Caenorhabditis elegans: one gene and its partner. The protein of the gene in region 1 interacts with the protein of each later gene in a pairwise test. Each region holds a gene or a part of one and is shown in the gene's direction. Other genes may lie near its edges. The genes, in order: sax-2 and Y51H4A.8.

Evidence for each region.
Region 2: the proteins of sax-2 (region 1) and Y51H4A.8 interact in a two-hybrid assay, tested with the Caenorhabditis elegans proteins (one large-scale study listed by BioGRID).

What each region holds. Positions count from the first base shown.
Region 1 is NC_003281.10:5,101,948-5,118,203, forward strand, and holds the start of sax-2 (MOR2-PAG1_N domain-containing protein), read left to right. Parts: upstream 1-7,753; coding exon 7,754-7,836; intron 7,837-7,899; coding exon 7,900-8,238; intron 8,239-8,735; coding exon 8,736-8,903; intron 8,904-8,956; coding exon 8,957-9,058; intron 9,059-9,110; coding exon 9,111-9,351; intron 9,352-9,739; coding exon 9,740-9,838; intron 9,839-9,888; coding exon 9,889-10,046; intron 10,047-10,093; coding exon 10,094-10,194; intron 10,195-10,370; coding exon 10,371-10,450; intron 10,451-10,677; coding exon 10,678-10,904; intron 10,905-11,465; coding exon 11,466-11,691; intron 11,692-11,738; coding exon 11,739-12,748; intron 12,749-12,991; coding exon 12,992-13,610; intron 13,611-13,654; coding exon 13,655-13,748; intron 13,749-13,794; coding exon 13,795-14,135; intron 14,136-14,190; coding exon 14,191-14,445; intron 14,446-14,499; coding exon 14,500-14,826; intron 14,827-14,910; coding exon 14,911-15,245; intron 15,246-15,514; coding exon 15,515-15,919; intron 15,920-15,973; coding exon 15,974-16,256. Other genes in the region: F54D8.6 (C2H2-type domain-containing protein), read left to right, coding at 1,044-1,579, 1,629-1,774, 2,213-2,313, 2,365-2,456, 2,509-2,559, 2,605-2,658, 2,708-2,748, 2,803-2,936 and 5 more; Cuticle collagen dpy-17, read left to right, coding at 5,386-5,800, 5,853-6,496.
Region 2 is NC_003282.8:16,569,347-16,586,486, reverse strand, and holds Y51H4A.8 (DUF4136 domain-containing protein), read left to right. Parts: upstream 1-7,937; 5' UTR 7,938-7,971; coding exon 7,972-8,181; intron 8,182-8,277; exon of another isoform or gene 8,278-8,298; intron 8,299-8,484; exon of another isoform or gene 8,485-8,506; intron 8,507-8,729; exon of another isoform or gene 8,730-8,753; intron 8,754-8,976; exon of another isoform or gene 8,977-8,998; intron 8,999-9,099; exon of another isoform or gene 9,100-9,181; intron 9,182-10,714; exon of another isoform or gene 10,715-10,735; intron 10,736-10,858; exon of another isoform or gene 10,859-10,879; intron 10,880-10,988; coding exon 10,989-11,339; 3' UTR 11,340-11,393; downstream 11,394-17,140.

The sequences.
Region 1 (16,256 bases):
ACTTTTAAACTTTGCAAATGATAGGGCTACAGTACCCATGATGTCAAACAAATTGCAATTTTTCAATTTCAAAATTGATCAACTATTTCCTTTAAAGGTTTCTGATCACAAAGAAGAAAATCACTCGTATTTTGTACCCGGTCTCGACGCGACAATTTTTTGTAAAATGCGAAAAAGTATGCGCCTTTACAGAGTAATTTCAAACTATCGTTTCGAATTTTCAGAATGCTTGACATTACAATTTAATTTTTAATTTTAATTTAAAGGCGCACACCTTTTCGAAACTAACAAAAAATTAGCGTGTCGAGACCGGATACCGTATTTTTTTTCGCAAAATTTCGTTTCTGGGTTATATGACTTCAATAACTTATAGATACAAACATCAGAAGCTTCCTAGACACAAAATACAGAAAACACATGTTCACTCTTCAAATATACATTTTTATTGTTCTTCCTGTTTCATTAAAAGTGTAAAAACCGAGATGATGATGATATTGATAGTGTGAGATGTAGTTCATAATGATGCTACTAGATAACATCAATGATCGCATTTCACAGATCTACAGCTGAATTATCACCTAATGTAAGCAACGAATATTGCGATTATTGCTCCAAAAATACGGTACCCGGTCTCGACGCGACAAATTTTTGTTTAAAAAAACAGGTGCGTCTATAAAGAGTACTGTAATTTCAAACGTTCGTTTCTGTAGAAATTCCCGTCTGGGACAACAACTTTTCGAAATCCTCGAATAAAAATGTTCAATTTTCTGTTAAAACAATTAGTAGGTAATCTGAAAAAGCCAACAAACAGAAAAGAAGAAATATTCCGAAACTCTTTCCTTGTTGCACATTTTCCAGTTTCTGTGTCTCCGAAAACTCCCATTCCGATAGGCCAGTGCAAGTGCGCTCCATGGCTCTACTGGTTTTCTTCAATGAAACAATTTTATTGATTTCAATATCGTTTCTTTCGTTTTTTTAGTGTTTAATCATATTTTATTCATTAATTATTTAAAAATAAATATTCAAATTTTATTAAATTTCAGATGGAAGAAGAAAATACACCGGAAGTCCAATTTGAACAAGATGAAAACGAGGAAAACACCCTTCAAATCGTAGACAGCGACCTTGTCATCGAGAACTCTGTCACGGAGAATGTTCCCTCAGAAAATCAAGATGTAGAGATGGAAATAGTATCCGATTCGGAAGAACCTCTAGAACCTCCTGTGCCGGTTGCAGTGAATTTTGAAGAAGCACCAGTAGAAGAAGTTCCAGGGGAACAAGAAGCAGTGCTGGTCGAAGAAGAAGAAGAAGAAGTACCTGCAGAAGCAATTGAAAAATCTCATGAACAAAGAGAATCCTTCATGGAAATGTTTAGAATAGCTCCGAGAATTCGAGATATTCTACCAGATTTGCGCGTTTTTATGAGCCATCCGGACGTTTTAGACGAAGATCGGAAAGAAGTTGAGGCTTTAGTAGAGGCAAAAATTCAAGATGAAAAGGCGAAAAAGAAAGCTGAAAAGGTATCGAAGAAAGAAAAAGAAGTTGAAAAACCACCAGTGTCATTGGAAGAAGCTGTTAAGTAGGTTTTTTTAATGCGGAAATTGAAAAAAAAAACAAATATTTTTCAGAACTGTTACCGGAATAGATTTGGCCGCAATACTTCAAAAAATTCCGAAAAATCCTCAACAAATCGCCCCTGTTACAATACCTCCGCCTGTGGTTATGCCTCCGCCTATCGTAATTCCAGGAATGCCAAATGCTCCAGCTGTTACAGGTAAAAATTGAAACTTTTTTTTAAAAAGAATCACAAAAATGCCTCAAATTGGTTCTGTGAAGCTTCAAAGATCACAAATTGTCATCTAATTTGAATTTCGCGCGAAAATGAGTTTTCTATGATACTCGACCGTGTACTCCTCTCGGACAATTAACGAATTAAACTTTTAGATTTTAGACGATTAAAAAAAATGTTTTAGATTTTTTCCATCAGCAAAACGAAAATGATCATATATCCATTTATTTATTTTGAAGCAAAAAGCCGTGCAAAATCATCAAAAACAACCTAAAATCATAAAAATTAATTGATTAATTACCCGAAAGAGGTAAACGGCTGAGTATCAATCTCAAATTCGACTATACCACATTAAAGAAGGAGTTTTTAAAATTAATATAAAAATCTTGCCGCAGAGAGAAAATTTTTTAATACTTTTTTCAGAAGTTCTGAATCTGGTTTCACTGCCGTTAAATGCCAAACCCGTGCCAATCCCAATTGCGTCTTCAGTAATAGCACCCAATTATGCAACTGCGCCACCGATTGTGAGTTTTTTTTTCTAAAAATGTTTTTTTTTCGAATTCTCAAATTTTCAGGCTCTGACAGACCCGAACGTCGCTTCAATTGGACACGGAAAAGCTGGATTTTCTACGCCTCATCCGAATGAAATTCCAATTGAACTAAGACAGTATGTTATTTTAAAAAAAAAACCTTTATTTTAAATATATCTATTTTTTCAGTTCCAAACCAGACATGATTGCTCCAATTCCAGATGAGCTAAGAAATCTTGGGTATGTCCAATTGTATTGAAATTTCTTAACAAAAATTGTTTTCAGTGCCGTTCCAGTTGTTACTTCGATTCCTACAATTCCTAATGAGTTCCTACCTCCGTAAGTGAAATTTCAATTTAAAAAAGTCTCTACAACAAACATTTTTCAGAGAACAACGAATTCTTGGATCGTTACCACTCACTTTTGTTCGTAAGTTTTCCGTGTGAAATATTGAAGAAAAAACTAATTTTTCTCCAAATTAAGGTCCTCCGATGCGGAAATCCCTGTTTCTCTCTGGTGCAAGATCAGGAAAACGATGTGACAGAATTAAAATGCAGAGAAAGAAGGATAAAAAGGAAGTAAAATTGGAAAAGAAGCTGGAAAAGAAGTCAGAGGATGTAAGATATTTTTAAAAATTTCAGAAATGTAGTGATTTTGCTTTGAATTGCACAAAATGACTACAATATTACAAAGAAAAATGTTTTTTAAAAAAGTATATGAGAAGTTTTGGTTCAAAAATGTCGAAAAATCCATTGAGTGGGGAATGTTCATTCGGAAAAAAAAATATAATGACCGATTGTGCAATTTTAGGCCTTTTGTCAAAAAAAAATTTCAGTCTCTGGAATCAGTGGAAAAACGGCCCCGTGGCGGACATAGAGGTCGAGCTGGTGCAGGCAGATCAAGCTTTGAAGCAACAGGAATGAATGCTCTTCCTCAAGGACTCAACAAGAATTCTCCGCTTGCTGTTAAACGTTATCATGCTCGTCAACTTGCCAAAGAAACTGGAATGACATTGGAAGAAGCTATGGAAGAAATTGAAGAACAATGTAATGCATTTGGAGGTGAAGATACTCCAGAAGCAATTGAACACGATACAAAACTTATGGAAATGATTAAGAAACGAGGTGATGAACATTGGAATCAACGACATAATTATACACCTGTTGATCATTCGAAAGGAATTCCTGGAGTCGATAGACCACCTGGTGGTAATAGGGATCGTGGTGAAAAGGTTCGGAGCAAGTCGCCAGTTACAGGAGTTGATAGACCACCAGGTGGAGACAGAATTGAACGAAGTAGGGATCGAGAACCGGGTGGTGGTGTTCCTGGGGTTGATCGGGCGCCAGGCAGAGGATCTCGTGGAATCGATCGCCCACCTGGAGGTGATTCTCGTGGTGTTGATCGACCACCTGGAGGTGGAGGAATTCCTGGAGTAGATCGGCCACCAGGAGGTGGAAGGCGCGGAGTTGATAGACCACCAGGATCTGGAATGCCTGGAATCGATCGGCCACCTGGAGGGGATCGAATGGGTGATAAGCAAAGAAGAGGAGCGAGAGGAGGTGTTAAGGAAAGAGAAAGAAAACGAAGAAGTAAGTTTATTCAACCTTTATTCCACGAAAATTCGAAATCCTTATGTTTTTTTTTAAATATTTTTAAATAACGCTTTATTTTTCAGGAGATGAATTCCAGCGAGGAGGTGGTGGTGGTGGCCGAGGCGGTGGCCGTGATGGTGGAAGAGATTATGGTGGTCCTCCGCAAAAATCTGGGCGACGTGATCGATATGATGATTAGTGAGTTCAGCAATGAGCAGAGATATAAAACACATTGAGAAAGTATACGAAAGCCCCTTTTTCTCAGCTATCTCGGAAAGTAACTTTACTTTCAATTGAAATTTTCGAAAATTTGCTCTAAAACTGACTCAAATAATGCCGATCGACACTTCACGACTTTGAGGCAGTTTGTCAAAAACTTCTCGAAGCCTTCAATTAAACATAAAAAAGTATTTGTGACTATTCGCGTTTCGAAACCCCAAAAAAATTTCAATTTTTCAAAATCTCGATTTCAGCGATCGATCGTATCAAGGAACAAGTGGATATGGACAAGATTATGATTCACAAACATATGGAGAACGTGGTTACGATGGACATTATCAAGGACAAGAGGATTATTATGGAAGGTAATAAAATTAAATATTTTAAAATGAAATTAATTAAATTTAATAAACGTTTCAGTCAAGAAGGATATGGAGAATATAATCAGCAACACTACGGTGAAGGATACGATCAACAAGGATATGGGCAAAATGGAGATTCATATTATGGACATGAAGGGTAAGGAAAATCACTTTTTTAATTGTTTGAATTGTATTTTTATTCAAAAATAATTACCTATTTTCAGCCAAGATGCATCGACATATTACCAAGAAGATGGCAGTCAATACTACAATCAATACTACGGTACTGCTCCTGCAGAAGGTGAAGCTTCAGCTGTAACTGGAACGGATTATCATGCAACATTCAGTGTACCACCACCACCGGCTCCCCCTCCGTCATAAATTTAAGAATTGGGAAAACTAAATATTTTTGAATCAAAAAACTTCCTTTTTCAATATTTTCTTCAATTCTTTCCCGATTTCTTTCAATTTCAATAGTTGACTTTTATTTATTTTTAATTTATAAAATTTCTTATATTCTTCTTCCTCCTTCTATTGTATGAATATTAAAAACAGGTCCTTCGACCCGAAAAATCCCCTTCTCAAATCTAGGTCATCATATCGGAGATAACGGACAATTATGCATAATATTCGAGATGATTATCATATCGGTCATATGAGGGGGCGGAGTCTCGCATACAGTAGTCCTTTGTCCTTGTGCGAGGGAGTTTATGAGTATAAAAGGGTCCCTGAGAGAGGAGAAATGGACACTTTTATCAAAACATTTTCCATCTTTGTTTATTTTGACGATATTTATTCGCTGATACGAATTTTTGCAATTTTTATCCCGGATACCGTATTTCTTGGCAATTCAGATTACGCGCAAATTCTAGAATAAACATGTTTTCCAGATCATGTCAGTGTTCGCGGGATATGCCGCGTGCACCCTCGGTGCCGTTTCGATGCTTCTCTGCGTCTCTCTTGTCCCACAAGTCTATCAGCAAGTCTCGATGCTCCGGGACGAGTTGACGACTGAAATGGAGGCATGGCGTCTCGAGTCCGATCAAATCTACATGGATATGCAGAAGTTCGGACGTGTCCGTCGTCAAGCCGGAGGATACGGTGGATATGGTGGATACGGTAGCGGACCATCTGGACCATCCGGACCATCTGGACCACACGGTGGATTCCCAGGAGGCCCACAAGGACACTTCCCAGGAAATACTGGATCATCGAACACCCCAACTCTTCCAGGAGTTATTGGAGTTCCACCATCAGTTACTGGACATCCAGGAGGAAGCCCAATCAACCCAGATGGATCCCCATCTGGTAAGTATAGAAAAAATAGTCCAAAGATCTTATATAAATTGAACATTTACAGCTGGACCAGGAGACAAGTGCAATTGCAACACCGAAAACTCATGCCCAGCTGGACCAGCCGGACCAAAGGGAACTCCAGGACATGATGGACCAGATGGAATTCCAGGAGTTCCAGGAGTTGACGGAGAAGATGCTGATGATGCCAAGGCTCAGACTCAACAATACGATGGATGCTTCACTTGCCCAGCTGGACCACAAGGACCACCAGGATCCCAAGGAAAGCCAGGAGCCCGTGGAATGCGTGGAGCCCGTGGACAAGCCGCTATGCCAGGAAGAGACGGATCCCCAGGAATGCCCGGATCTTTGGGACCAATTGGACCACCAGGAGCCGCTGGAGAAGAAGGACCAACTGGAGAGCCAGGAGCCGATGTTGAACACCAAATCGGACTTCCAGGAGCCAAGGGAACTCCAGGAGCACCAGGAGAGTCTGGAGATCAAGGAGAGCAAGGAGATCGTGGAGCAACTGGAATTGCTGGACCACCAGGAGAGCGTGGACCACAGGGAGAGAAGGGAGATGATGGACCAAATGGAGCCGCTGGAAGTCCAGGAGAGGAAGGAGAGCCAGGACAAGATGCTCAATATTGTCCATGCCCACAGAGAAACACCAACGCCGCTGTCTCTGGAAACCAAGGATACAGAAACTAATTTCACATTATTATTTGTGATTTGTGTTGTTGAAGAAAATAAATTATTTTATTCTCATAACTTTTTTCAATCGAAGGATGTTTTCAGAGAAGCATGTTATCCTAGTTCAGATAATCTCAAGAAATAGGCTTACTATAACAGAAAAAGTTAACTGAATTGCAAACATTTTCAGATAGTAGAAATATAATCAAAACACTTCCAAGCTTTGAAATAGAATACTAAAATATTAAAAAAAAAAACACCCTATTTCCCCAACGAAAATGTTTTGTTACTATTTAATTGAACGATTGTGAACCTATTTTACAAAAAAAGCATTTTGATCTACCAGTTGAACTCAACATATATTTATTTTCAAAAGAATTTCAAAAGATAGATCAAAATAGTTTATCTGAGTTTTTTCATTAATTTTTCCCATGAAAACAGATTCAATACTTGCGAGCATCCTTCTTGTCTCTCTTTCAATGATGCCCGACAAGACACACAGAAACTGTTTCTTTCTCTGCCGTCTCTTATGTATAGAGTGTCCCGAACAGCTGTTTGGAAACGATGGCCGAGTCTGAATGGCCTTGTCTTTTTCTCTTCTCGGCCAGTTTATCGAGTTTATTGGTACCCAGTTGAAATATTGTTTTAGTGATTCTTCAATATCAATATTTGCGTTCAAAAGTTAAATTAGCTCAACTCTCAATTTTCTAAAATCTCTTATGTCCTTCATCACCTCCATTTCCTATTACTTTCCAATATGTTTCTTTGTTTTCGACTCATTTTTATATATTGGATTTCGTTAAAGAAAATTAGAAAATTATCAAAAAACAAAATGTTTCACAAAAATATAGTTTTGTATTTTGATTTTTATGAAAATTGAACGAAATTTCAGAATTTTTGATAAATTTATATTCTTAGTTTCGACACAATCTAATTAAAGTCTAATTTTAAAAAAACCAATTTTTTTTTCAAGTGAGTTGAACCAGACACTTTATAAAAAAGATCAGAAATTTTACTACAATTAACTTACTGTATTTCTTGCGCACATCACTACTTAACTTGAAATTAATAAAAGGTACATTGAATCAATTTTCAAATAAAAAAGTTAGGTTTTTATGCTCGCTTTCATGAAAAATCGTTTGTAAATGTTATTTATTTTAATTATCATTGGCTAAACAAAAATTTTCAGAAACTTAAAAATTCTTGCCAATTTTTGATTTTTCTCTCTATTTCTCTCTCTCTCTCTACGTTTTCATTATTTTCCCATTTTTACAGATGAGCTCAATTGTAAAAAAAGGACGCCTGGGGCGTCGAAAAAGCGATCCGGGGACTTTGACTGTTCGATCTACTGCTGATAAGTCCGTTTTTTTCACAATTGATTTTTTTGGACGTAGAAGTCAATATGAAATTATTATTTATAGAATTGCGACATGTGAACTACCATGGGGAGGAACTAGAATGGTAACACTTGGACCACTGGAGTTAACCCAAATGAGTGGACCATTTGTTGGACAAGCTTCTCTCATGGATCTTTTCAATATATTCGAACGAAAATTGCATATTGTGACTGAAGAAGAACCACTTGAGAAGATGTTGAACAAGACATTGCAACGTGGTGGTGATCTATATTTTGATAATTTATGTCATACACTTCATGGATTATCCGAAATTTGTTTGCCGCCAATTTTGAAAGTTTTGGTTGAATGGTATGAGAAGTATGATGAGTCGTTGTGTTTATCTATGCTATCACCTATTGCTACGTAAGTTTTTTTTTGTGTAAAGTTGTTGAAGCAGAACAAAAATTTAATGAAAACAGAAATCATTTCACATGATGCATCAAAACTTATTCACCGCATGTAATTTACCATCCTTGATATTACGCAGTGGCGAAATTTTGGAATTTCACACGAACTAAAAAATTTTCAAATCAGGTCCACGAAAAAATGTGCGCGCCTTTGAAAACTACAGTAACCCATTCTTCGTATTTTTGCTACTCAAATTCAAAAAAAAGCAAAACAAAAGTGTATGGATTACTGTAGTTCTGTAAAGGTGTACCTTTTTGAGCAACCTGATTTTGGAAATACTTTTTCTCGTGGCGAAATCGGGTACCATATTTGTTTTGTAAAAAAATTGCACTATTTCGCGAAATATTACAGTTACTTGTTGGTTGAAAGTATACCTAATCGTGTCAGATTGGTTGCAAAAAAATTTTAAAAATTCAACTTATATGCTCTCGCAAATGTCTTACTTTTTTCAGGCCGGAACTTCGTCTGAAACTCCATAAAAAGTTATTGGCAGTGAATTATTTATTCTGTCTCGTACTTATTGAAATTCTTCCACAAGTTGAATTCCATCTTCCTCAATGTGATCCACTTATCAAGAAAGTTCTAGAGATTTGCTTCAAAAATGTACAGTACAGAGAACCGTAAGTTTTTAGTTTTTGATTTTAATTTTAATTTTAAAATGTAATAATTACAGATCGGCAGTTGGAATCAATAAAACAAATCATTTAGTAGTTGCTGAAACTTATGGAGAAGTCGTTGGAGTTCTTTCCAGTACATACTTCACTCATATTCATAGGTGAAATTTGATTTTCAATAAAGTTATTTTAATAATTTTAATATATTTTCAGAATTTTCATGACCCACATCACAGAGCTCAAAAAAGACGTTTCACAGACTGCTGCACAACAAATTGTAGCACTTATAATGTCGATGAAATTTCTTCGAATAAACTCGAGTCAAGTGGAAGATTTTGAGAATGGATTGAAATTTTTGGATGATTTGGGAAGTTTACTGCTGGAAGTGAAGGATAAGGATGTCAAGCATGCAGTCATGGGTCTATTGGTTGAGATCTTGTTACCGGTTGCAGCGGTAAGAACTGTTTTTTTCTTGGATTTATGTAAATATAACTTACTAGTTATAAACTATTAAGCCTACAGTATCCCGGTAGCATTCATACAGTTATTCAACTCATTTTCGTTATAAAAACGTTGAAACGAGTTTCAAATTACGCTACAGTACCACTGGTTTGAAAATTTCCTGACAAACTTTAGCAACTTTCTGGCAATATTTTTACAACTTTCTGCTTCCTACTAGCTGATCACTTATTTAGGAAGCGTTTTGTCAAGTTACTGCCAAGACGTTGCTCCAAAATAATTACGCGATATGTGCATCGTGCGTCCAAAATTATGCGAGGTTCCTAATGGACATATCGCAATTCAACTATGTGAATAGACAAAAGTAATGATTGAAATTTCAGCAAATCAAGCGAGAAACTAACATTCCTGCTTTGATTTCTCTTGTTCAAAAATTGTACACTACTACGAACGATATGATTTCAAAAAAGCAGCATAAGCTTGTAAGTTTACTTTTTTATTAAATAAAGTTTTAAAATTTCAATATTTTCAGGCAGCATTTCCACTGATCACGTGTCTTCTTTGTGTCAGCCAAAAGCATTTTTTCCTCGCAAACTGGGTACAATTCTTGAATTCGTGTTTGTCTCATCTTAAAAATAAGGATCCTCAAGTGGCAAGAGTTGCGTTGGAGAGCTTATATAGACTTTTATGGTTGGTTATAAAATGATCTTATTTCTATTTGCAATGTTTAATTACAGGGTATATATGATTAGAAACAATGCAGATGGAAATGCAGCAACACGATCTCGACTCGACTCGATTTGTGGTAGCTTGTTCCCGAAAGGAAATCGATATATTGGTTAGAAATTTGAAAAGGGAATAAATGGGAAAAATAATTGGTTAACAGCCAATCAGAAATGTTACCGATGCCCCTACACTTTTCTGATTGGTTGTTCAATTTGGGAAATTTAAATATAATTTTAAACACAATATGCTATTACGTTTGAACGAATTAGCAAACGATAATATTTTCAGTGCCTCGTGATGCTCCACTCAACATTTTCGTCAAAATCATTCATTTTATTTCGCAGCAAAAATTGGATTTTGCATTCAAGGTGAGTTTTTCTTTATTATTTCAAGAGTTTATATGACGTCCAAGACAATAGAGAATATAATCTGAAGTTGCAAATTAATGATCAAGAAATTAGGAAGCCTCTAGAAAAGTTTAAGTTTTACTTTATAGCTTTCTACAAGTTAGTCATTTTTTGCACTGAGACTGACAGTTAATTTAATAAAATTAAACTCGCCTTCTGGAGCAAGCCAAAATTGTTTCATTTTTCAGGAAATAATCTTTGATCTCCTATGTGTCAACAATCGAACACAAAGATCCTTGTATGCGGAACGAATGAACGTCGGAATTCGTGCACTGATGGTCATTGCAGACGGTCTTCAACAGAAGGATGATCCACCAGCAATGCCAAAATCAATGGGACCATCTGCAAGTGGAACTGTGCACAAGACAAAAAGAAAACAATACATCACAAGACCATTAACAAATGAAATTTCAAAGTGAGTTTTGGGAGAAAAAACATTTAAAAAAGAAGGGAATGGAAAAGAAGACAATTGGGAAGGGGAAGGGAAATCATTTTCCGTCAATAAAAATGTTCCCAATTTTTGTTTTATTATCAAATTTGCATATCGCTTCTGCTCTTGTTTTCTTTCCTGATTTTTAGACAAAGAACCCAATGCCGTAGTACTAGTATTAAAATTTTAAAACTCAAACACAGTTTAAAAAGATCGCAAGAAAATAGTAATAATACTTTTGTCACCTCTTATCACGAGTGGTCAGAATTGTTTGCGATGGGCGGGCCTAACACATGACAGCTAGAAGTTACGGTATCAATGAATCATAGGTTAACGACAAAGTGAATATGATCCTTTTTCTTGTAATAAAACAACATTATTATCAGTTTTTGAGCAAATAATACCTGGTTAATAACTATATTTTGTTTTTCACTTATCTTGGCACCTCTCTCACCTTCCTATCACTTTCTTATCACATTCTAACACATCATTAAACGAAACTGTTCACCAAATAATTGAATTCGTAAAATGTTCAACATTTTTCAGATCGATCGGAATTGATCAATTCTATCCACAGTGCCGAAAGGCTTTCGATAGTATTCTCCGCCTTCTGGACACACAAATCGGCAAACCACTCATGATGTCTTCGATTCAAAATCGTGGAAAAGAGCCAGATGAGTTGATTAGTGGAGATGCAAAGCCAAAGCTTGATCTGTTCCGAACTTGTATTGCTGCGATTCCAAGACTTCTTCCTGATCCGATGAGTCATGTGGTAAGCCTCGATAGTGAAGAAAAAGTTTCCAAAACTCAGTATTTCAGGATTTGATCGATCTCCTTACTCGCCTTACAGTTCATCTCGATGAAGAGCTTCGTAACATGTCTGGAATCACACTTCAAACAATTATCGGAGAATTTCCTGATTGGAGAGAACAAGTGTTTATCAGTCACATCTCGCTCATTCAATCTCATATTTATGATTTCTTTCCACAAATTTTGGATGATTCCCTTCGTTTGATGCTCCAATCTTTGACAACATGGAAAACTGCAATCACTGCCGAAAAGAAGCGAGAAGCCGAGAAAATTATTCCGACAAGTCCGCCAAGTTGTCACTCAAGTCATGTGACAAGTAATAGTACCCACAGTACTCACATCTCGGTCAGCTTCCCCAATACTGTCACATCAGCATCTTCGATTCTTTCCAATTCATCATCACCACATCAACCAACACCTTCACTGTGTTCTTTACCAGAATCTTCATCTCTTCATTCAATTCCAACTGCAATGACATCACTTTCAACAACAACTACTCCAACTCATTCACAAGGTGCTCCATCAACATCTACTCCAATCGGAGGTAGTGGTAACAGTACCTTGTCGGTTTTGCATCAAATGGAAGGATTGGCCATTGTGTATCTATGTCAGACTCGATCAAATCCACGTGCTATCGCTGTCAAGATTTTGAAAGAAATTCAACTGATCTATGATCTTCTTGGAATCGAGATGATTGATACACCGGTCATTGATGTGCTCGACCAGGCAACTCCATATGTTGTGAAAAAGTATATCGAACACGTGCCTATCAAAGAACGAATGTCATGGAATATGGACTTTTCGTCGGTTTGTGATAAGATCTCGACGATCGAAACGGACAATACTTTGGTGAACAGTGATCGTGGAAACGAGTACTTCCAATGGGATCCGTGGGGTTGTGCACTTTCGGGTTATGCAGAGATAAAGCACTTGCTCACAAAATGCCCAAGTGCAGTTGCTGCAGCGTGGCCAATACTTTTCTCGAGATTAAATGCAGTTTCAGGATATGTTGATCCGAAGTGAGCTTAATAAACAATATTTCATGCTTAAAAATATCCATGCCTGCCTGCCTACCTGACTATTTTTTGAAATGTACAGAGTTACGGATTTTTCATTTTCAATTTCTTGAAAGTGAATAGAAATTAAAAAAGAAGTTCACTTGTACCTTGGCAGGCGTAAGTCGCTTTGGAGGAATGTAGGCAGCCATTTTATACCTACCCATAAATGTCTATAAATATCAAACTAATATTCTATTGTTACAGTAACCCACAAAACGAAAGTCGTTCATCTCTTCTCCGTGGGTCAAAAAGTAAAGGAACTTCATCGATTCTCGGCGAGCAACTTGGACAAGAAGCATGTCTTGCTCTCTGGCAAAAATATCTCATTATGTGCTGCGCTTTGGCTCCGGCTCCATACAATCTCTCACAGCGAAGCTTCAGTCCAACCAACTCAATGGATGGTCCAGTTGATGTGTTTCGATCTGTGTCTGCGTCACTCAGATCTTCAAGAACTCCAGTTCCAAACTCATTATCTCAATTGATTTCAAAAGTTTGTATGATTTTGAGATGGGAAAACTTGACTGACATTCGTGATAGTGTTGTACTTGGAGTTGGTTCTATCAATCCACTCGCCTTTGATATGATGCTTGAAGAGTTAAAATCAAATGGGATCCTTCGAGAAGCTACAGAAAAGAAGGCAGAGACAAATTTACGAAGAAGAAAGCGAAAGGATTTATTGAGACTTCAAATTATTCGAGTAATTGAAGTTGCCATATTTCGAGGACTTTTATTAGTTCATTCGGCTGGAAGTTCAGATTTCATTCTACATCCACATGTTGTTGATTTTATTGATTCGATGAGGGTCAATTTGGAGAGCGATCATGTAAGTGGAGACCTTATTGGGATTCATGATCAAAAACATTTCAGGATCGGGACATCACAGTTGTTACAAAACTCCGTCTTCACTTTGCCAAACTGATTCATCTGATCATTGACTCAACTCCACATCTGTCTAGACACAGTATGCATCTCAATTTGACATAGTTTCCCTTACTTTTGTGTTTCAGCTCTCTTTTCGGATGAACGTCGTCATAAGCTCTTCTATCTCTTCATTAACTGGTGCTCACGTGCAATTGCCGCTGATCGGAAGTTCCGTGACAAAGAAGTCGGTTCATATGTTGAACAGAAATCTGTTCTTGCAATGTCTCGTATTCTATGTTGTGGACCTATTTTTGAACCAGCGAAATCAATTGGCGAAGATGGATATTTATATGGATGGCTTGAAAAGTTGATCATCTCGACGAATCCAACGATGCAGGCAGAAGTTGAAGAAATGTTGGCATGGATGTTGGAGTTGAACGAGTCTGGAGTTTTATTGGATTGGTTGATGATGCAGTGTTATACTCAGGTATCGTCATATCTTTTTTTTCTATTTTATTTTAAAAAAAAAATTAAATTTTCAGCCACCTACTGTCGCATGCCGATGCTTCAGAGCTCTAGTTCGAGTGTTCTCACGTCGTGACTTCCCCTGTGAATTTGTCTCCCTATTCGTTCTGTGCCAATCTATGCTCGCAGTCAACTCAGTCACCGATTGTGCTCTTCACATGATCGAGATTCTAAGGAAGCAGTTTTTGGAAACATCAAATATTCATGCAACGTCTCCAGCTCAACAAGTCACTCCCATTGTGCAAATGAGAAATCAAGCCGATGTTCTGACGGTGGGATTTAATTTTAATTTGAAAGTTTTGAAAAATAAACTTCTAAAATTTCAGAATATCTACAACGGTTGCCATATCCTACCAATCGAGCAACACGATGTTTGTACCCGACTCGCCAACTCGTATCCTCATTTGACAGTCACAATATTCAGTGAAGTCTCATACCGTCTTGAGACTGAAAGCTGCTCAAACAAGTCACAACTCTTGGCACTTCTTCAGCCATGGATTTCCAATTTAGAACTTGTTGATCAGAATGTTGTCGAAGAAGCTGCTGAAGGACCAAGAGGATGGGGATCAGAAGAAGCGACTCAATTGGTGTTGAACAATTTACTCTACTTGACAGTCACATTATCCAATGATCATGAGAAGGAACTTGCTGAAGTATGGAAAACATTGGCAATCTCTTTCCCTGCAAATCTCCCTGCAATTCTCAATTTCTTCTACACTACAACACTTCTTTCACAGGAGTCACTTCTCCCATTCACCAAAAGAATTTGTGTAATGATGTCACAAGTTGTCGGCACTCGAATCTCATCGATTCTGCTGGAATGGCTCAGCACGGTGCATGATAGCTCAAAAATCACACTGGATCGAAGTGAAATTCCACCGTATTATCGATGGAAAGATGAGAATTCTGAACGAAAAGCTAATGAAGGATCCATTGCCAGAGACTCATTGGAACGGGAAGAACCAACTAAAGAAGGAGTTCGATTGCTGCCGATGCCAGCTTATGGAGGTCACTACTCACCACTCAGCCAGTTCTTGCCTCCTGTTGTTCAGCCAGTGCAGTTTTTCAACAAGTAAGTAATTTGGAAGCCCAGAACTAGGCACTCAAGTTTAGTCTATGAATGCTTCAGCTTCTGCCAATCTTTTGCCCTCGTCTTATGTATGTCGTTTGGAACAATGCTAGAATTTGATCAAACTATTATATCCATACATAAGCGAGACCTAATCCGAGTTTTCCAACTTCTGAACAAAGTGTTTTTTGCGAGAGCGTTCAACAAAAAGTAGTTATTAACTGAAATCAAATAAGCCTATTCCTATGTATAGACATTTGTTTTTTTTTCAGAAGTGAAGTAGGTCTTCTCTTGGTCTGTGATATCATAAGAACTCGATGCTCGGTGGATTGGTCTGAATCAATGGCTCTACTTCTTCATTTCTCAATTCTTCGATTAGATTCTCTACGTCCTGCTCTCTGCCGTCATGCTCGCCAAACTATAATCAATGTGATCATGCTTTACATGGAGAAGAACCAGCTGGCACTGGTCTCCTCAATTCTTTTGAAAAACGAGATGATCTACGGAACAGAGACCAGTCCAATCATCGGAGAAATAGCTGTCGGAGTCTGTCGTGGAGAGTCTCCCAGTTTTGCCAGAGCTACTGCCGATGAGTATAGGAAGATGATCTTTGCGAGTCCATCGCTTTTCTCACAGAATGATCTTCTATCGGCAGTGGTGTTTTGTATGAGTGAAGAGTGCGTTTTTCATTTCAGAAAATCAATGATTTTGGTTTAAAATATAATTTTCAGAATGGATACTCCATTTTGGGCAAATGAAGATGCAAATTCTCGAAATTGGAGAGTCCCAAGCTTTGAGCAACTCTCGTGTACTGTACATCACATTGTGAGACTTTTGATCAACAAGATGCCAATGATTGAAGTTATTTGGACACAACTAGCCATGAAAATGGCACTTTCCACATCGAACCGCCATTTAGCTGGACGATGCTTCCAAATTGTTTCAGCACTTGAGCAACCTCCGGGTCCATGGATCCCATCGTTAATGTCCAGATTGGTGGAAACTGCTGGAGAG
Region 2 (17,140 bases), on another chromosome or scaffold:
AATAGTTACTCAGAAAACTTGAATTTCCCTCAAAAAAATGTTCTCATAAATTTTGAATTTCCCGCCCAAATTTTTAAGGGTCTCACCACAATGGGTTTCAGCACGATAGGTCTCACCACAACAATTCCAGAATTTTCACGAATTTTCTCGAATTTTCCAGAAGGTTCTAGAACATTCCAGAATTTTCTCGAATTTTCCAGAAGGTTCTAGAACATTCCAGAATTTTCTCGAATTTTTCAGAAGCTTCTAGAACATTCCAGAATTTTCTCAAATTTTCCAGAAGGTTCTAGAAAATTCCAGAATTTTTTTTCGAATTTTCCAGAAGGTTCTAGAACATTCCAGAATTTTCTCGAACTTTCCAGAATTTTTTTTCTAATTTCCCAGAAGGTTCTAGAAAATTCCAGAATTTTTTTTCTAATTTTCCAGAAGGTTCTAGAACATTCCAGAGTTTTCTCGAATTTTCCAAAAGGTTCTAGAACATTCCAGAATTTTCTCGAATTTTTCAGAAGGTTCTAGAGCTTTCAGAATTTTCCAGAAGGTTCTGGAACATTCCAAAATTTTCCCGAAGTTTCCAATTTCCCTTCCAAAGACGGAAAGTCAATTTTTCCCAAACTACAGTAATCCTATAGTACTCCTACAGTATCTCTACAGTACTACTACAGTACCCCGATCATATCCCACCACTAACCTCAAACCTATATCTCTTCAAAAGACAAAAACTCAATTTTTCCTAAACTACAGTAATCCTACAGTACTCCTACAGTACCTCTACAGTACTACTACAGTACCCCGACCATATCCCACTACTAACCTCAAACCTATATCTCTTCAAAAGACAAAAACTCATTTTTTCCTAAACTACAGTAATCCTACAGTACTCCTACAGTACCTCTACAGTACTACTACAGTACCCCGGCCATATCCCACTACTAACCCCAAACTAATATCCCTCCAACAGCCGAAAACGCCTTGCCTTTGTAAGCTATGACGTCACAGACTACAAACTACGGAACAAACGGAATTATTTTTTTATATATAGGTAATGATTTTTCCGCTGAAAAAAACCCTAGTTTGGAAATTTCTTGGTTTTGCTCCATTATTTCTTGAACGAAAATTTATTTTCCGTTTTTAAAAATTAACTCCTCTGGGAGTTTCGATGAAAAATGTTACATTAATATGGTTTCTTTCAAAAGTAAAAGAAACACAATTACAAAAAAAAATTACTATTTCAGTGACATTATATGAAATTTCTATATTTTTGAAAAAGTGATTCAGTTCAGAAATTGAAAACTATACATATTAACATTAGCCGGCATTATTGGTGTTAAAATACAATTGAATTTATAAAATATCGCGTGTCAACACTTTTAAAAATCACTACAATTAGAAAACAACATAACACAGACGAAAAAAAAAGAAAATTTCAAACAAATTTTAGCAAAACAATATTGAAAATTTGAAACAGCAAACATTTTTTGAAATTTTTTTTTGATTTCCATACCTTTGTTAGATTTTGAATTCATTTTTATGATTTTTTATCGGGATAATTGGTAATGTTTTGAAAATGTTTAAAATTATACATTGTTAATGTTCGGTTGAAGTTTTTACATAGAAACAATATAAATTGGATGATTTTCTTAGTTTTCAGTTTTGAAATAAATAAAGTTTGATTTTTTGAATGAAAATATACTTTTAAAAACTTTTTATAAAGGAGAAAAACGTTTTTGAATTAAAAAAACTGAGAAAAAACGATTAAAAATTTTTTAATTTGCAAAAAAATTTGACTGTTTCGTCAAGTTGTTATAATTTTGTATCAATGGCTTCATATTACTACCTCTCTTTTTTCGAAACGTTTATTCCTTGAATACGGTTTTTATTGATTAAATATGAAAAAAAAAGAAATAATGTATATCCCCGAGTGAAAAACAAAAAGGGGACAAATAGGGGTTAAATGCAAAACCAGAGACAATAAAATATGTGGATAATAAAAAATTCACCAGATTTTAGAGAAGGTAGCGCAGAATACGGATATCAAACTGGAACAAGGGAATGCAAATATTTATTTTCCTCCTTTTAGGTTATAATTTAATTAATTTTGAATTTATTTTTAAGTTGAAAAGTAAAAGATTCGAAATTACAAAAATTACTGTTTCAGTGACATTATATAAAATTTTCATATTTTTGAAAAAGTAATCTCCACCTTTTTCCATTAGTTAAAAATACTACATTTTAAAATTAGCCAGTTTTATTGTTTGGTGTATAATTGAATATAATTGAATTTATCAAATATCATGGTTTAACACTTTTTTATTAATCTTAAAAATGCGCGAGCTGCTAAAAATAAACATTTCTGAGCATGCTGAAAAAAAGATCGAAAAACGAATTAATTTTATATAATCTGTTAAACGAAATATTTGAAACAGTTTTTTTATTGATAATGGGTATAAATTCTTTGTGGTTTATTCCGGAAATAATCTTTCAGATTGTTATATCTCTAAAAAAGGATTTAAAAGAGATAACAAAATAGATTTAGTGGTAGGTAGACACATCTCTAGGCTCTTCTCTTTCAGCATACTTTTTTCAGTCATTTCTCCGCTCAAAATGTGCGAACAACACAGCCATTTGCGGTAACGAAAACACCCCAACCAGCTCTCCGAAACCGGGCTGCGATGTCCGAGCGGTTAAGGAGTTGGACTTGAAATCCAATGGGCATTGCCCGCGTAGGTTCAAATCCTGCTCGCAGCGAATACTTTTTGGAAAATATTCCAAATTAAATCTACAGGTTTTTAAATAAATTTTGTATCTCATTGAACGTGCACCTAGTATTTTGCTTTTGAGTGATTTATCAGTAAATTTGAGCTTTAATACGAAACCGTGCAAAAACATTTTGATTATTTGCAATTGCTTGTATCAGCATAGTGAAACAGTGAGAATTTTTGTGTGTTAACACAATGTAGCAAGGAACATGGTAAGGCTGATATAATAATGAATTTGTACTATAGAATACAAAATTTGGCAAAAAGAATTTTTACATATAAATAAAGTTTGTTTTATAATATTCTTATTAGCTCACTATTATCTTAGTTATTATTGTTGTTGTTTAGAATCTACTTTAAGACAATTAATTAACAATGATTTTGTCAATAAAATTTTCATTCGGCCACAGTCCTCGGCTAAGACGTGGCTTATATTATATTCCAGTAGGAGCACCACCAGGCAGTGTACCTGAATCCCAGATCCGCAGTGAATTGTATGTTTACTGTTTCAGCATGTTTATATTATAATCTTTATCTTTTGTTGATAATATATTTGTAATATGATTGGAAACAAAACCAGGAAATCAATATCTGGCATAAGTAGCCAAATTTGAGCAAAATCTTTTAAGTTGGAATAGTGTCCGCACCGAACTTTTACCTATTGCTTTTGATTGATTTATCAGTTATTTTGAATTTTATAGCGTGTCAAAAACATTTTTATAGCGTGTCAAAAACATTCAGATTATGTTCAATTGCCTATATCAGCATAGTGAAACAGTCAGAAATTTTTTGTGTTAACACAATGTAGCGAGAATGGTTGTAAGGCAAATATAATCATGCATTTGTACTATGGAACACAAATTTCTACAAAATAAATTTTCAATAAAACGTAAAAATTTTATTTGTAAAAAAGTATGTTTTATAATATTCTTATTAGCTCACGTTAAGATCTCAAAATGTTTAGAAAATTTTTTAAATTTTCATTAATTATTTGTGTTTCGAAAAGCCTCTATCACCACCCAGGTTTTGTCACTTTTTCATTTGAAAAATTCTTTGAATTTAGTGGTCTACTGCTGTTTCAAATAGTTACATTCAACTGTTATAGGGATTCGATCATACTACACAAAGTCTTCTCAAAAAGTGGCAAAAAAGTTAAATATTGTTTTTTAAAAGGTTCACTATGATGTTTGGTCATTTTGGGACCAAAGGCGTCACAATTGAATTCTGAATGTTTCAACATTTTTTTATTATACTCTTTATCTTTTGTTGGTAATATACAGAAGACGTCTTGTTACATAAAAATAATGATTTGGAAGTCGACCAAAAAAAATTTTCCTACGATTTTTGCATACCTTAATTTTGTATTGATACTTTCTGGGGGTCGAAAAATTTTGGATCTCCCCAAAACGCATATTTTTTCAAAAATTTGGCATTTTACCAAAACTTTGACTGGAAGTTCTGAAAAAATTGAATTTTTTCAGAGTTTTTTAAAATGATTTCTTCACTGGCGCTACTGCAACTTTAATCACTTTTTTTTTCATTTTCCGACCAAAAAAAAATTGGAATGCAACTTTTATTTGGTTAATTGTGTGTTTTTCGTGTTATTAACTTTTTAAAAATTAATTAATTACGTTGAAAATTGGTGATTAAATTTGTCGAGAAATTCACTGTTTGACCGCGTGTGTATAAAAATTTTCTTCCGATTTCGTCAATGATCTTTTTGCATACATTAGCAACATATAAAAATTAATTTGAAAGCTTCCTTTAAAAATAAAATTGATAATAGGCTCCGCCTTTTTCTGGGCTTTCTTTGTTTTTGAAGTTTTCCAATCGAATGTTCTGTGAAAAAATCTTTTCAAACAAATTTTTGTAACGGTTGTTTGGCAATATTTCGATCTTTTGATTTTTGGATGTACCCTTTATCTTTTGTTGATAATATTTTGTATCATGAGTAGAAACAAAACCAGGAAATTAATATCTGGCATAATTATTAGGTCGTTCAATAAGTTTTTTCGTTTTTTTCTAGTTTTGGTTTTTTCTTGGATATTATTTTGCGGTTGTACAGAAGACTGTTAGTAATGACAAGCCCAACAATATCAGCCATATCGGTCAACTTCCAGATTATTTAAAACTCAGAACTATGATGACGAAAAAAAAAAATTTTTTTTCGAATTTTTTCATTTCTTTGTGAAATCAAATACTTTGTATGCGTAGAGGTATAAGACAGTTAGTTAAACAAAACTGAAAAATTTCAGACTCAGGCATAGCTTATTGGTAGCGCTACATCTGTTTAAAGTGCCTAAAACGCTTGCAAAATTGACTTTTTTATGTTTAAGCAGTGCTAACTTTTAAACCATGAGAGATATACAAAAGTAATGTATTACAACATTAATGTACACATCATCAGCTACATTTTATCAGTATGTTACATTGTTGTCCCTCCTCACGTTTCTGAGTTACAGTTGATAGAAGTGAGCTTGGTCCAATTTTCAAAAAACCCTAATTTTCACGTTTTCGCCTGTAACTCCGAAATCAGGCGTCTAATTAAAAACTTCAAATTAAAAATTAAGTGATTTTAAATTATAATCGGGTTCACAGTTGACCGTTTTGTCATATCTCATATGTGGGCAAAGATATGAATTGTCAAAGAAAAGTTGCGGAAATTTTAGAAAATTTTCAAAAAAAAACATCGAAAAAAAATCCAACAGTTTTTTTTACAAGATAACCTCTAACTGTTTTTTGATTATGATAGCCTAATTAGTAATCAAAATATTAAATGTGTTTTTAAACGCTCATGTTCTTTTCGGAAAGAGTAAAACAGTTTTTTGCAATATTTTTCTATATTTTTTCGATCATGCATTTTTTGTTTGTTGACCGTTCATATCTTTGCCCACATATGATATGACAAAACGGTCAACTGTGTACCTGATTATAATTTAAAATCACTTTATTTTTAATTTGAAGTTTTTTAATCAGGCACCTGATTTCGGAGTTACAGGCGAAAACGTGAAAAATTAGGGTTTTTTGAAAATTGGACCAAGCTCATTTCTATCGACTGTAACTCAGAAACGTGAGGAGGGACAACAATGTAACATACTGATAAAATGTAGCTGATGATGTGTACATTAATGCTGTGATACATTACTTTTGTATATCTCTCATGGTTTAAAAGTTAGCACCGCTCAAACATGAAAAAGTCAATTTTGCAAGCGTTTTCGACACTTCCAACAGATGTAGCGCTACCAATAAGCTATGCCTGGTTCTGAAATGTTTTAGTTTTGTTTAACTAACTGTCTTATACCTCTACGCATACAAAGTTTTTGATTTCACAAAGAAATGAAAAAATTCGAAAAAAAATTTTTTTTTCGTCATCATAGTTCTGAGTTTTAAATAATCTGGAAGTTGACCGATATGGCTGATATTGTTGGGCTTGTTATTACTAACAGTCTTCTATACAACCGCAAAATATTATCCAAGAAAAAACCAAAACTAGAAAAAAACGAAAAAACTTATTGAACGACCTAATAATCAAATTTGGGCAAAATCTCTTAAGTTGGAGTAGTGACCGCACCGAACATTAACCTATTGCGTTAAATCGATTTATCAGTTATTTGAAATTGTTTTAAATAAAAAATATTTTTAAATCGTGTCCATTCAGATTATTTGCAGTTGCCTATATCAGCATAGTGACACAGTCAGAAATTTTTTGTGTTAACACAATGTAGCGAGAATGGTTGTAAGGCAAATATAATCATGATTTGTACTATGGAATACAACAATTCTACAGAAAAATTGTACTTATAAAAATTATGTTTCACAATATTTATATTGCGTCACTGATATTTTAGTTATTATTTCAGAACTTTTTCATGAGAAAGATCTTAAAATTTCAATGATATGATTCAAAACAATTAATTTAAAACATTAAATTCAAAAAAAGTAAAACTATTCAAAACTTTTTTTGAAAATGTTGTTTATTTTATTTCAAAAATGGCAACCATTCTGTTAGGCACTTATTTGGAAATCGTTGAAAAAAAAATGTTTTCCTCCGAATTTTATGTTTCAAACGGTAATATTCAATTATTTTAGGGATAGTTTTCTTTAAAAGTGGCAAAAACTTAATAATTGGCGCTTTTCGGAAAAAAAAAATTTTCTAAAATTTTTATTGTTTCAACATGCTTTTATTATACTCTTTGTAAATTGGGTTTTATTCATACGCTCAAATTGTATTTTGGTAATTAAAAAAATTGAAACGTAACCAGGAAATTAATATCTGCCAGAAGTAGTCAAATGTAAGCAAAACCTCTTAAGTTGGAATAGTGACTATGGTGGTTTTTACAGAAAACTGTCTTGTTATAGGAAAAAAATCTAATAGTAACACAATGGTTTAAAAGAAAGCATCTACATTTTTTTAAAGGTAAAACTTTTTGAAAAAAAATTGGATTTTTAAAAATTCACTGTAAAAAGTGACTATTACTCAAATTTTGCCACTCATAATTTTATAAGTCGATCAAAAAAAAACTTCCTACAATTTTTTTTGCCAAAACTTTGACTGGAAGTTGTAAAAAATTTGAGTTTTTTGGAGTGTTTTTTTAAATGATATCCCCACTGGCGCTACTCCTCCATCAATGACTTTAAAAATTGATAAGAAATCGAAAAATCTGAATTTCGAAATTTACCGTTTCACCGCGTGCGTATAAAACTTTTCATCACATTTTGATCTATTTCTGATAGTGATCCGCTTTCAAACGTGTAAAACAATTTAAAATTAAACCAGAAGCTTCCGATAAAAGTATAATCAATAATAGGCTCCACCTATTTTTGGATTTTCATTGTATTTAAAGTTTTCAAATCGAATCCAGGAACAAAATCTTCAAAATTTGCAACAAAAAAAAAATTCAGTTTCAGCCTTCAAACAAATTTTAGTAACGGCTGTTTGACAATTTTTCGATCTTTGGGTTTCAAATTTTTACGAGTTCCCTTTTACCCCCGCTTAGTATGCTTTACCTATTCTTACTGTTGGCACACCCACCCACAAGAAAAAGTGTTAACAATCAGTAATAAAATGATGCCATAACTATGACAAATATAAACATTTTTGGCAAATCGAAACAAACATAAGCTATTGTGGGGCAAAGGTTAAGGAAACGGTATAAAAAAGGATTGAGGTAAGGTTTAAACTTCACTTTTAACTTTTGTGATTTGAACCTTCAAAATGCTTAAAATTCTACTGCTCCTCTGCTTTTTCATCTCCACAGCCGGAGCCTGTGCTCCGGGTACCGGAACGCTGGGCTCCAAGGGAACATTCAGCTATGAAATGAACCCTCCTGCTCTATACACCTATGATTCTCTAGCAGAATTTGAAAACGGACAGTTTGATCAAGCCTATGCTCAGCGAGTTGTGGTGTCGGATGTGCAGAGTGCGGTGAGTTAAATGCAATTTTAAATAAAAATCCCAATACAGAAAAAATTTCTACTGTTTCACAAAATTTTTATGAACAGCTACAGTTTTCTTTGGAGTTCGTATAATTGCATTTATTAAAAGTCCAATTATTAAATGTCCAACTATGGTGGTGGATAATTTTGCCAAATTTATAAAAGAATGTGAAATGGCAACACATCGCATAATGTTTAACGGTTGCATTATTATTTGAAAAAAATTTGAAATTCTCAGAAGCTTTATAAATTCTAGTCTAGTTTTGATGAAAAGCCATATATTTTCTTAATTTCCATCAAGCCAGCCTATTCAATAAAAAGCGATTCATAAAAAGTTTAATGAAATACTTTTGAAACATTAAAAATTTTATTGAAATTTTCTTTTTTTTTTCGAAAAGTGCCAATTACTACGTTTTTGCCACTTTTAAAGAAAAGTATAGCATATTCCAATCTCTACAATAATTGAAAAAAAACCCATAAGTGGGCCATAAAATTCGGAGGCAATTTTTTTTTTGACGAAAACAATAATAATAACTTTTTAGGCACCGTAGAGTTGAAACACTCCCTAGTAAGATAACAGTGAGCTAATAAGAATATTATAAAACATACTTTTTTACAAATAAAATTTTTACGTTTTATTGAAAATTTATTTTGTAGAAACATGTTATATTCTATAGTACAAATGCATGATTATATTACAATCTTTCTATTTTCATTGTGTTAACACAAAAAATTCTCACTGTTTCACTATACTGATATAGCCAATTGCAAATAATCGAAATAATTCTGTTCTCTCCTAGAAACTGATAAATCACTCAAAAGCGACATACTAGGTGCGCGGTCAATGAGTTAAAAAATTTATTTAAAAGCCTGTAGATTTAATTCGGAATATTTTCCAAAAAGTATTCGCTGCGAGCAGGATTTGAACCTACGCGGGCAATGCCCATTGGATTTCAAGTCCAACTCCTTAACCGCTCGGACATCGCAGCCCGGTTTCGGAGAGCTGGTTGGGGTGTTTTCGTTACCGCAAATGGCTGTGTTGTTCGCACATTTTGAGCGGAGAAATGACTGAAAAAAGTATGCTGAAAGAGAAGAGCCTAGAGATGTGTCTACCTACCACTAAATCTATTTTGTTATCACTTTTGAATTATTTTTTTTAGAGATAACAATCTGAAACATTAATTTTTGAAATAAACCACAAAGTATCAGGTTGTCCCATAAGTTTTTGTACTTTTTTTCAAATATTTTTCCAAAACTTCTAGAAAGTTTTAAAATTTTTTCATCGTAGGTCGTGTCAAGGTCGGGTCGTCCCCTTCCAGAAAAGATTCATTTCATCCATTTCTACTTTGCCACGATGACAATCATCAAACTTGAACGTCGAGACGTTAGATTGCTTCTTCTTTATGAATTTCGTCTTGGTCATTCAGCAATGAAAGCGGAACGAAACATATGCGGTGCGATGGGTGAGGGAGCACTCTCTTATAATACAGCAAAGAGTTGGTTTCAAAAGTTCAAGAACGGCGACTTCAGTCTCGAAGAAATAGAACGTTCTGGGCGACCGGTAGAGTTAAATGAAGAAGACCTAGTGAAGCTGGTGGAGGAAGAGCCTCGTCTTAGTCTTCGTGAAATGGAAGAGAAGCTTGAGTGTTGTCATAGCACAATTGCACGTCACTTGGGTCGCCTTGGTTTTACTTCAAAACTTGGAATTTGGGTGCCTCATGAACTTTCGGCATCACAGAAGCTCACTCGGGTCAACGTTTGTACTCAACTTCTAACTTTTCGTCGAAAGTTCGATTGGCTGAACAATCTGGTTACTGGAGATGAGAAGTGGGTGCTCTATGTTAACCATTCCAGAAAACGTCAATGGCTTCCGATCGGTGAGAAAGGAATACCGACGCCAAAGCCTGATCTTCACCCAAAAAAGATAATGATCTGTGTCTGGTGGGGTGTTCAAGGACCCGTGCACTGGGAATTGTTGCCAACTAATAAAACTATCACTGCTGATTACTATTGTGCCCAATTGGACCGAGTTGCAGAAAAGACCAACGGAAAATATGAAAAACTATATTTTCTTCACGATAATGCTATGCCTCATGTCGCCAAGAAGACTTTCCAAAAGCTGCAAGATCTTGGTTGGACTGTTTTACCGCATCCACCATATTCTCCAGATCTTGCACCAACCGACTACCATTTGTTCTTGTCTCTCAGTGACTACATGCGCGACAAGCAATTCGACGACGAAGAGCATCTCAAAACTGAACTCTCCACTTTCTTCTCATCGCGTTCGCCGGATTTCTTCTCCCGTGGCATCATGATGTTACCTAGTAAATGGCAACAAGTGGTGGACACTAATGGTGAATACTTGTGTGAATAGTACTACTTGTCGCTTGAGAGAAATAAATTTTTTTCAAAAAAAAAAATAGTACAAAAACTTATGGGACAACCTGATATTTATACCCATTATCAATAAAAAAAAACTGTTTCAAATATTTCATTTTTCAGGTTGTATAAAATTAATTCGTTTGTCGATCTTTTGAATTCTTTTTTAAAGATAAATAAGTCTGAAACATTAAGTTTCAAAATAAGCCACAAAGTATTTATACCCATTATCAAAAAAAAACTGTTTCAAATATTTCATTTACCAGATTATATTTCGGAGAGCTTGCTAAAATTTGTCCATACGAACCAAAAAAAATTATCTGCTCAAAACTTGTATAATAATGGAACCAAGTAGAGCGCTAAAACACTAAAAACACTATACAATACCAAAAAAGTTTAAAAATTCAAAAAATTCAGATCAACGACGTATTGCAAGCCAACAGTATCCCCCTAAACGACATAAACCCACCAGTCATCACATTCTCGCCTCCAAACGTCACACTTACTACAGTAACCGAGTGCACCGCCGACACCGCGGGTTACGGTGTTCTACAACAATCCACAGTCTACTATAAGTGTGCAGCGAAGGCTGGAACCGATGGAAAATACGCGAAAAGTCCGTTTGTTGTCCCTTTGACCGTTCAAGTGACCGCGATTTCTGCAATTTATGAGAGCCAGTGGAAGATGTTGGCTTCTCAGATGGCGGACAAGTTGACGACGAAGAGAGGAGCACAGTTTTATACAGATCCTATTGTTACTGTTGGTTAATTGGTTTTTTTTCTTTTTGTGGATTTGAAATAAAATTATATTAACAGCGAGAATTTTTTACATGTATTGAAGTTTGAACATGGGATTTGATCTGGCCGTACAGAATAGAATACGGAAAAAGTTGAAAATACTTTAACGTTATTTGAAACAGGGAAACATAAAGTTTTTATGGGCGTTGAAAGCGAAAAATTAAAAGTTGATCTGATTTTGAGAATTCAAATTTTTGACTGTTTCATTAACATCACTTAAGATGTGCATTATTTTGATTCAGTATTGAATGATATGCCAGATCACTGCAACTTTTTTCGAACGAGGGCCGAGAAAAAATGCGAAAAATCGGTGTTTGCACACAATACACCGCATTTTACGACATTTTGTACTTGCTTTGTTTTCTTGTGTTTTTCACCGATTTTTCCCGTGTTTTCTTATTAAAACTGATAAATAAATATTTTTGTTAATGCTAAAATAATTTCCAGATGAAAAAAATTGTGAATTCAGTCGGCAAGTAGCGGTAAAAGTGGTCAATGTAATATGATGGATTACGGGAATAAAAAACCCAAACTTTTTCCCAAACATGATACATATGATGTTTAGATGCTGAAAGTACCTGATTATCATAACGAGACCGCTGAAAAAGTTTTGAGATTTTCAAAATTCAACTTTTTTTGTGAAAATCTCTACACCAAAAAAGTTGAATTTTGAAAACCTCAAAACTTTTTCAGCGGTCTCGTTATGAAAATCAGGTACTTTTAGCATCTAAACAGCATATGTATCATGTTTGGGAAAAAGTTTGGGTTTTTTATTCCCGTAATCCATCATATTACATTGACCATTTTTACCGCTACTTGCCGACTGAATTCACAATTTTTTCACTTGAAAATTGGTTTAGCATCTGCAAAAAATATTTATTTATTAGTTTTGATAAGAAAAAACGGGAAAAATCGGTGAAAAACGAAAGAAAACACGCAGAAAACAAAGCAAGATAAATGGCCGCTGAAATTTGTCAGGGACTCGGCCATAGCCTAGAAACCTTTTTGCCTCGTCCCTCGTTCGAAAAAAGTTGCAGTGCAGATTTCATATTTATAAAAATAAGAGCGGATGTGTTTGGCAATGGTCTGTAATGTAATCTGTAATGTTAGACAATATGGTTTAACAGGAATTTATTTTTGAGAAAAAATAGGTATTGCGTCTTATATGCACGCAAGTTTTCAAAAGATTATTTTGTTTATTTTTTTGTCTGGGAAGTTATAACTTTACAGTAAGATAATACATGAATTCCAACCACATTTTTGCAAATATGCTTAGTTCCGGAAACACGACATTTATTTTTTAAAAATATAAGGAAAATTCAATCACTAATTTTTTATCTTCTCAAGATTTAGCCAAAATAAACTTTACTGTTGCATTATCAACATTTTAAGAGTTTCACGATGTTAGTTCATTTTTCTCATCATTGGAAAGGTAAAAACATTAGTTTTCAGCCAAAAAAAACAAAAAATATATTCAGGCCTTGGCTGAACGTGGCTTAAAAATTTAGATTTTAATCTAAAAAAAACATCTGGATTCCGTCCCAGAATATATAATTAAAGGTTAAATCGATTTAATTGTTTATGAAAATAAGAGCTGCTATGTTCTGTAATGGAGCGAAATATGGTTTTACAGGGATTTATTAGCTGAAAATATATAAGGAGCACGTCATTAATTAATAAATGCCAACCCCATTTTTGCAAATATGCATAGTTCCGGAAACATGTCATTTATTTTTTTCAAAAATATAAGGAAAATTCAATCACTAATGTTTTATCTTCTCAAGATTTAGCCAGTGATTCGCAGTTGATCATTTATAAAAATTTTTTTACTGTTTCATTATCAACATTTTAAGAATTTCACGATCAGTTCCATTGCTTCCGTTCCATTGCTAGTTTTGATTTTTAATTAAAAAAATTTCGATCACGCTTTGCAAAGAGAAAAACATTACTTTTTAGAAACAAGAACATCAAAAAAATTCAGACCCTGGTCTAAAAATTTAGATTGTAACCTAAAAAAACATCTGGATTCCGTCCCAGAATATAGAATTAGAGGTTAAATCGATTTAATATTTATGAAAATTAGAGCGGCTATGTTCTATAATGGAACAAAATATGGTTTTACAGGTATTTATTTACTTGCTGAAAATAATAAGGAGCAAGGTATTAATTTTTCTTTAAATATCTGAAAAATCTGATCCCATTTTCACTAATGTTTCACCACCCCGATAAAGAATTTGACATTAATTCGCAATTGATGTATTCCTTATACTTAGCGAACCCTGAAGTTTTGAAAACATTCTTAATTTATTTCCAAAATATTGCAGAGTTTACAGTTTTTGGATGAAGCCGTTCGTAGAGAGGTTAACTTTAAAATCAGTAATTTTTCACAATTCACAAATAATTTTTTCTGATATATGTCGGATTTTTTTTTGAAAAATCGGAAAAAAAAATTAAAATAACGAGTTGAGGACAGATTACACAAGTTTATAAAACTTTTATATAGGAGAGGACCTATCACACAAAAATATACTACAATTATTAAATCGAGATAGTGAAACAGTCAAATATTTCCACATTAGGAACAGTTTATTTTTATCAAACAACAAATTTATCAGTATAGTTTTAAAGTAGATTATTGTATCGAGCACTAAAAATAAAAACACTTGTAATGTATTGAAACAGGGGATAACAAAAGGTTTTTCCGGCTGTGAAAATTAATATTTTCCACTGTTTCATTATCACGATTTTAAAAATTTCGTGATGTTAGTTTGTTTATACGTTTATCTTTTATACAAATTTTCCCGGCGAAAAAGAAAACATTCGTTTCTAGCCGAAAAAAAATCAAAAATGCTTCAAATCCTGGTTTGACCGGGCTCAAAATCCACGTTTCAATCTGAAAATAGCTCAACATTGAACGGACGAGAAAAGTATCATGAAAATCATATTAGAAAAAAAAACGAATTGACAAATAGATTGAATTCTTGAGACAGTAAACAAATTTTTTAGTTTTTACGCACTTTTAGACTTTTTGGGTTTATTTACCATTTTCTAATTCTAGGTTTTTCTCAATTAATTTTCACTTGAATTTTGTGCTTCCACTAATTCATTTTTCATAAATAGAGAACCCAAAGGATTTCAAATAATATTAATTTAACATCAATAATTTTTAATTTTTTCCATATTGTTTTTTCCAATTGGCATTAGCAGAATTGAATACAGAAAAAATTGAAAATACTTGAAAGTTATTCGAAACAGAGAAAAATATAAAATTTTAGCACAACTTCTACTTGAAATGCTTTTTCACTGTTTTCCGGCATTGTTATATCAATTTTTGAAAAGTTTTTTTAATAGAAAAGGATCATGACGAATTAAATATAATTGAAAGTTGATCTGATTTCGAAAATTCAAATTTTTGTCAGTTTCATTGACACCACTTAAGATGTTCATTATTTCATTAATTCATTAATAAAAACTTCGACAGGAATTCGCAATTGATGAACTCAACATATTTTGGAACCCTGAAATTAAAAAAAATGTTAAAAATGTATTTCCAAAATATTGCAGAGTTTCCAGTTTTCAGATGAAGCCGTTAGTAGATAGTAGGGCTGTGCAATCAGACGAATTCGGACGAATTCGGACGTCCGGTGTCCGGACGCGTGTGCGTCCGGCGTCCGGTTTTTCCGGACCCGGACGCACACGCGTCCGAAAAAACCGGACGTTGGGTGCGTCCGGCGTCCGGTTTTTCGGACGTCCGAAAAAACCGGACGTCCGGTTGCACAGCCCTAGTAGATAGGTTAACTTTAAAATCAGTAATGTTTCACAAATGACAAATTTTTTTTCTGATTTTGTGGGTTTTTCATGAAAAATTGGGAAAAAAATAAAATCGGGAGTAAAAGACTTATTACACAAGTTTATAAAACAATTATTAAATCATGATAATGAAACAGTCAGACATTTCCACATTAGGAACAGTTTATTTTTTATCAAACAACAAATGTATCAGTATAGTTTTAAAGTAGACGCACTAAAAATAAAAACACTTTGTAATGTATTGAAACAAGCGATAACAAAAAGTTGTACCGGTTGTGAAAATTAATATTTTTCACTGTTTCATTATCACCTTTTTAAGAAATTCGTGATGTTAGTTTAGTGAAACCTATGTAAACGTTTTTCTTTTGTAAACATTTTCCCGACGAAAGGGAAAACATTCGTTTCTAGCCGAAAAAAAACATCAAAAACGGTTCAGGCCCTGGCTTGACCCGGCTCGAAATCCAGATTTTAGTCTGAAAAGAGCTCAACATAGATTGGATGAGAAAAGTATCTTGAAAATCATATTAGAATAAAAAAAAACAAAATGACAAATATATTGAATTCTTAAGACAGGAAAACATTTTTTTGTTTGTTTTTACGCACTTTTAGATTTTTTGGGTTTATCTAACATTTTTTAACTATAGATTTTTCTCAATTAATTTTCACTTGAATTTTGTGCTCCCACTAATTAATTTTTCATACATGGAGAACCCAAAGGATTTCAAATAATATTAATTTAACAGCAATAATTTTTATTTGTTTCCATATTGTTTTTTCCAATTGGCTTTGGCAGAATTGAATACAGAAAATATTGAAAATACTTCAAAGTTATTCGAAACAGAGAAAAATATAAAGTTTTAGCACAATTTCTACTTGAAATAATCAAATAATTCGCTGTTTCACGGCATTGTTATTTCAATTTTTGTAACAATTTTTAATATAAAAAGAACCTAATGAAAAATTGAAAATTGATCTGATTTGAAAAATTGAAACTTTTGACTATTTCATTAACACCACTTAATAGCTCTTAAAAAAAAGGAAACAAATTTTCAATAATTAACTGAAATTTCAAATTTTTGCCTGTTTCAAGAGCTAATGTAATTTTACCATTTTGTAGAAGGCTTTATGTGTCCGTTAGGAAAAACATAATAAAAAAACCAAAAAAAGATGTTCAATTTTATTTTTTTTGAAAAAAAAAATCTCCTGTTTCACAATTCTTACAAACTTTACTTATACTTTACCTTTTAATATTATCCATTTTATAAAACGAATTTATAAAACGATTATAAAATTTAATAAAACGTGATGTCCATTTTCAATCTTTAGGCTTAGAAAATGGTTATTTCCAAAGCCTAAAAATACAAAAACTCCACACGTTTTTATTTAAAAATTTATTTCAAAAAATGAGGGGAAATAATACACAAGTACCATACAAGCTGTAATTAAGTTCAATCAAATCCACGTATGTATCAGAAAAAAAATTTTAAGAGCATATTAATAAAAATGCAGATGAACCCATAAACGCTACAAGTTTTAAAGAATTTTATAAAATTTTTGAAAAAATCGACTGTTTCATAATGTTTTCAAATAATGCTTTTGAACGCCAAGTAATGTTCATTATGAAGCTTCACAAAAGATTTCGACAAAAAAGAGCCAAAGTTTGCTCTGGAATTCAACTTTTCTGAAATTATGACCGTTTAATCCATTTTTGGTAACTTTTCTCGCGTAAATTAAAGCAAAAAATCGTCGGATACTGAAAAATAGAATATAAATTAAATAATATCATTTTGAGTGTTAAAAAATTGTATGTTTCACAATGTTTTCAAATAATTATGACGAACTTTAAGTAAAGTTGCGACTTACGTTCTGTCGGAAATATTGATTTAAAATCTGGAAACTAGAGAAAAAGAGACAGAGTTTTATATCTCACTCACTTATTTTATTGGGACAAAATTATGGAGA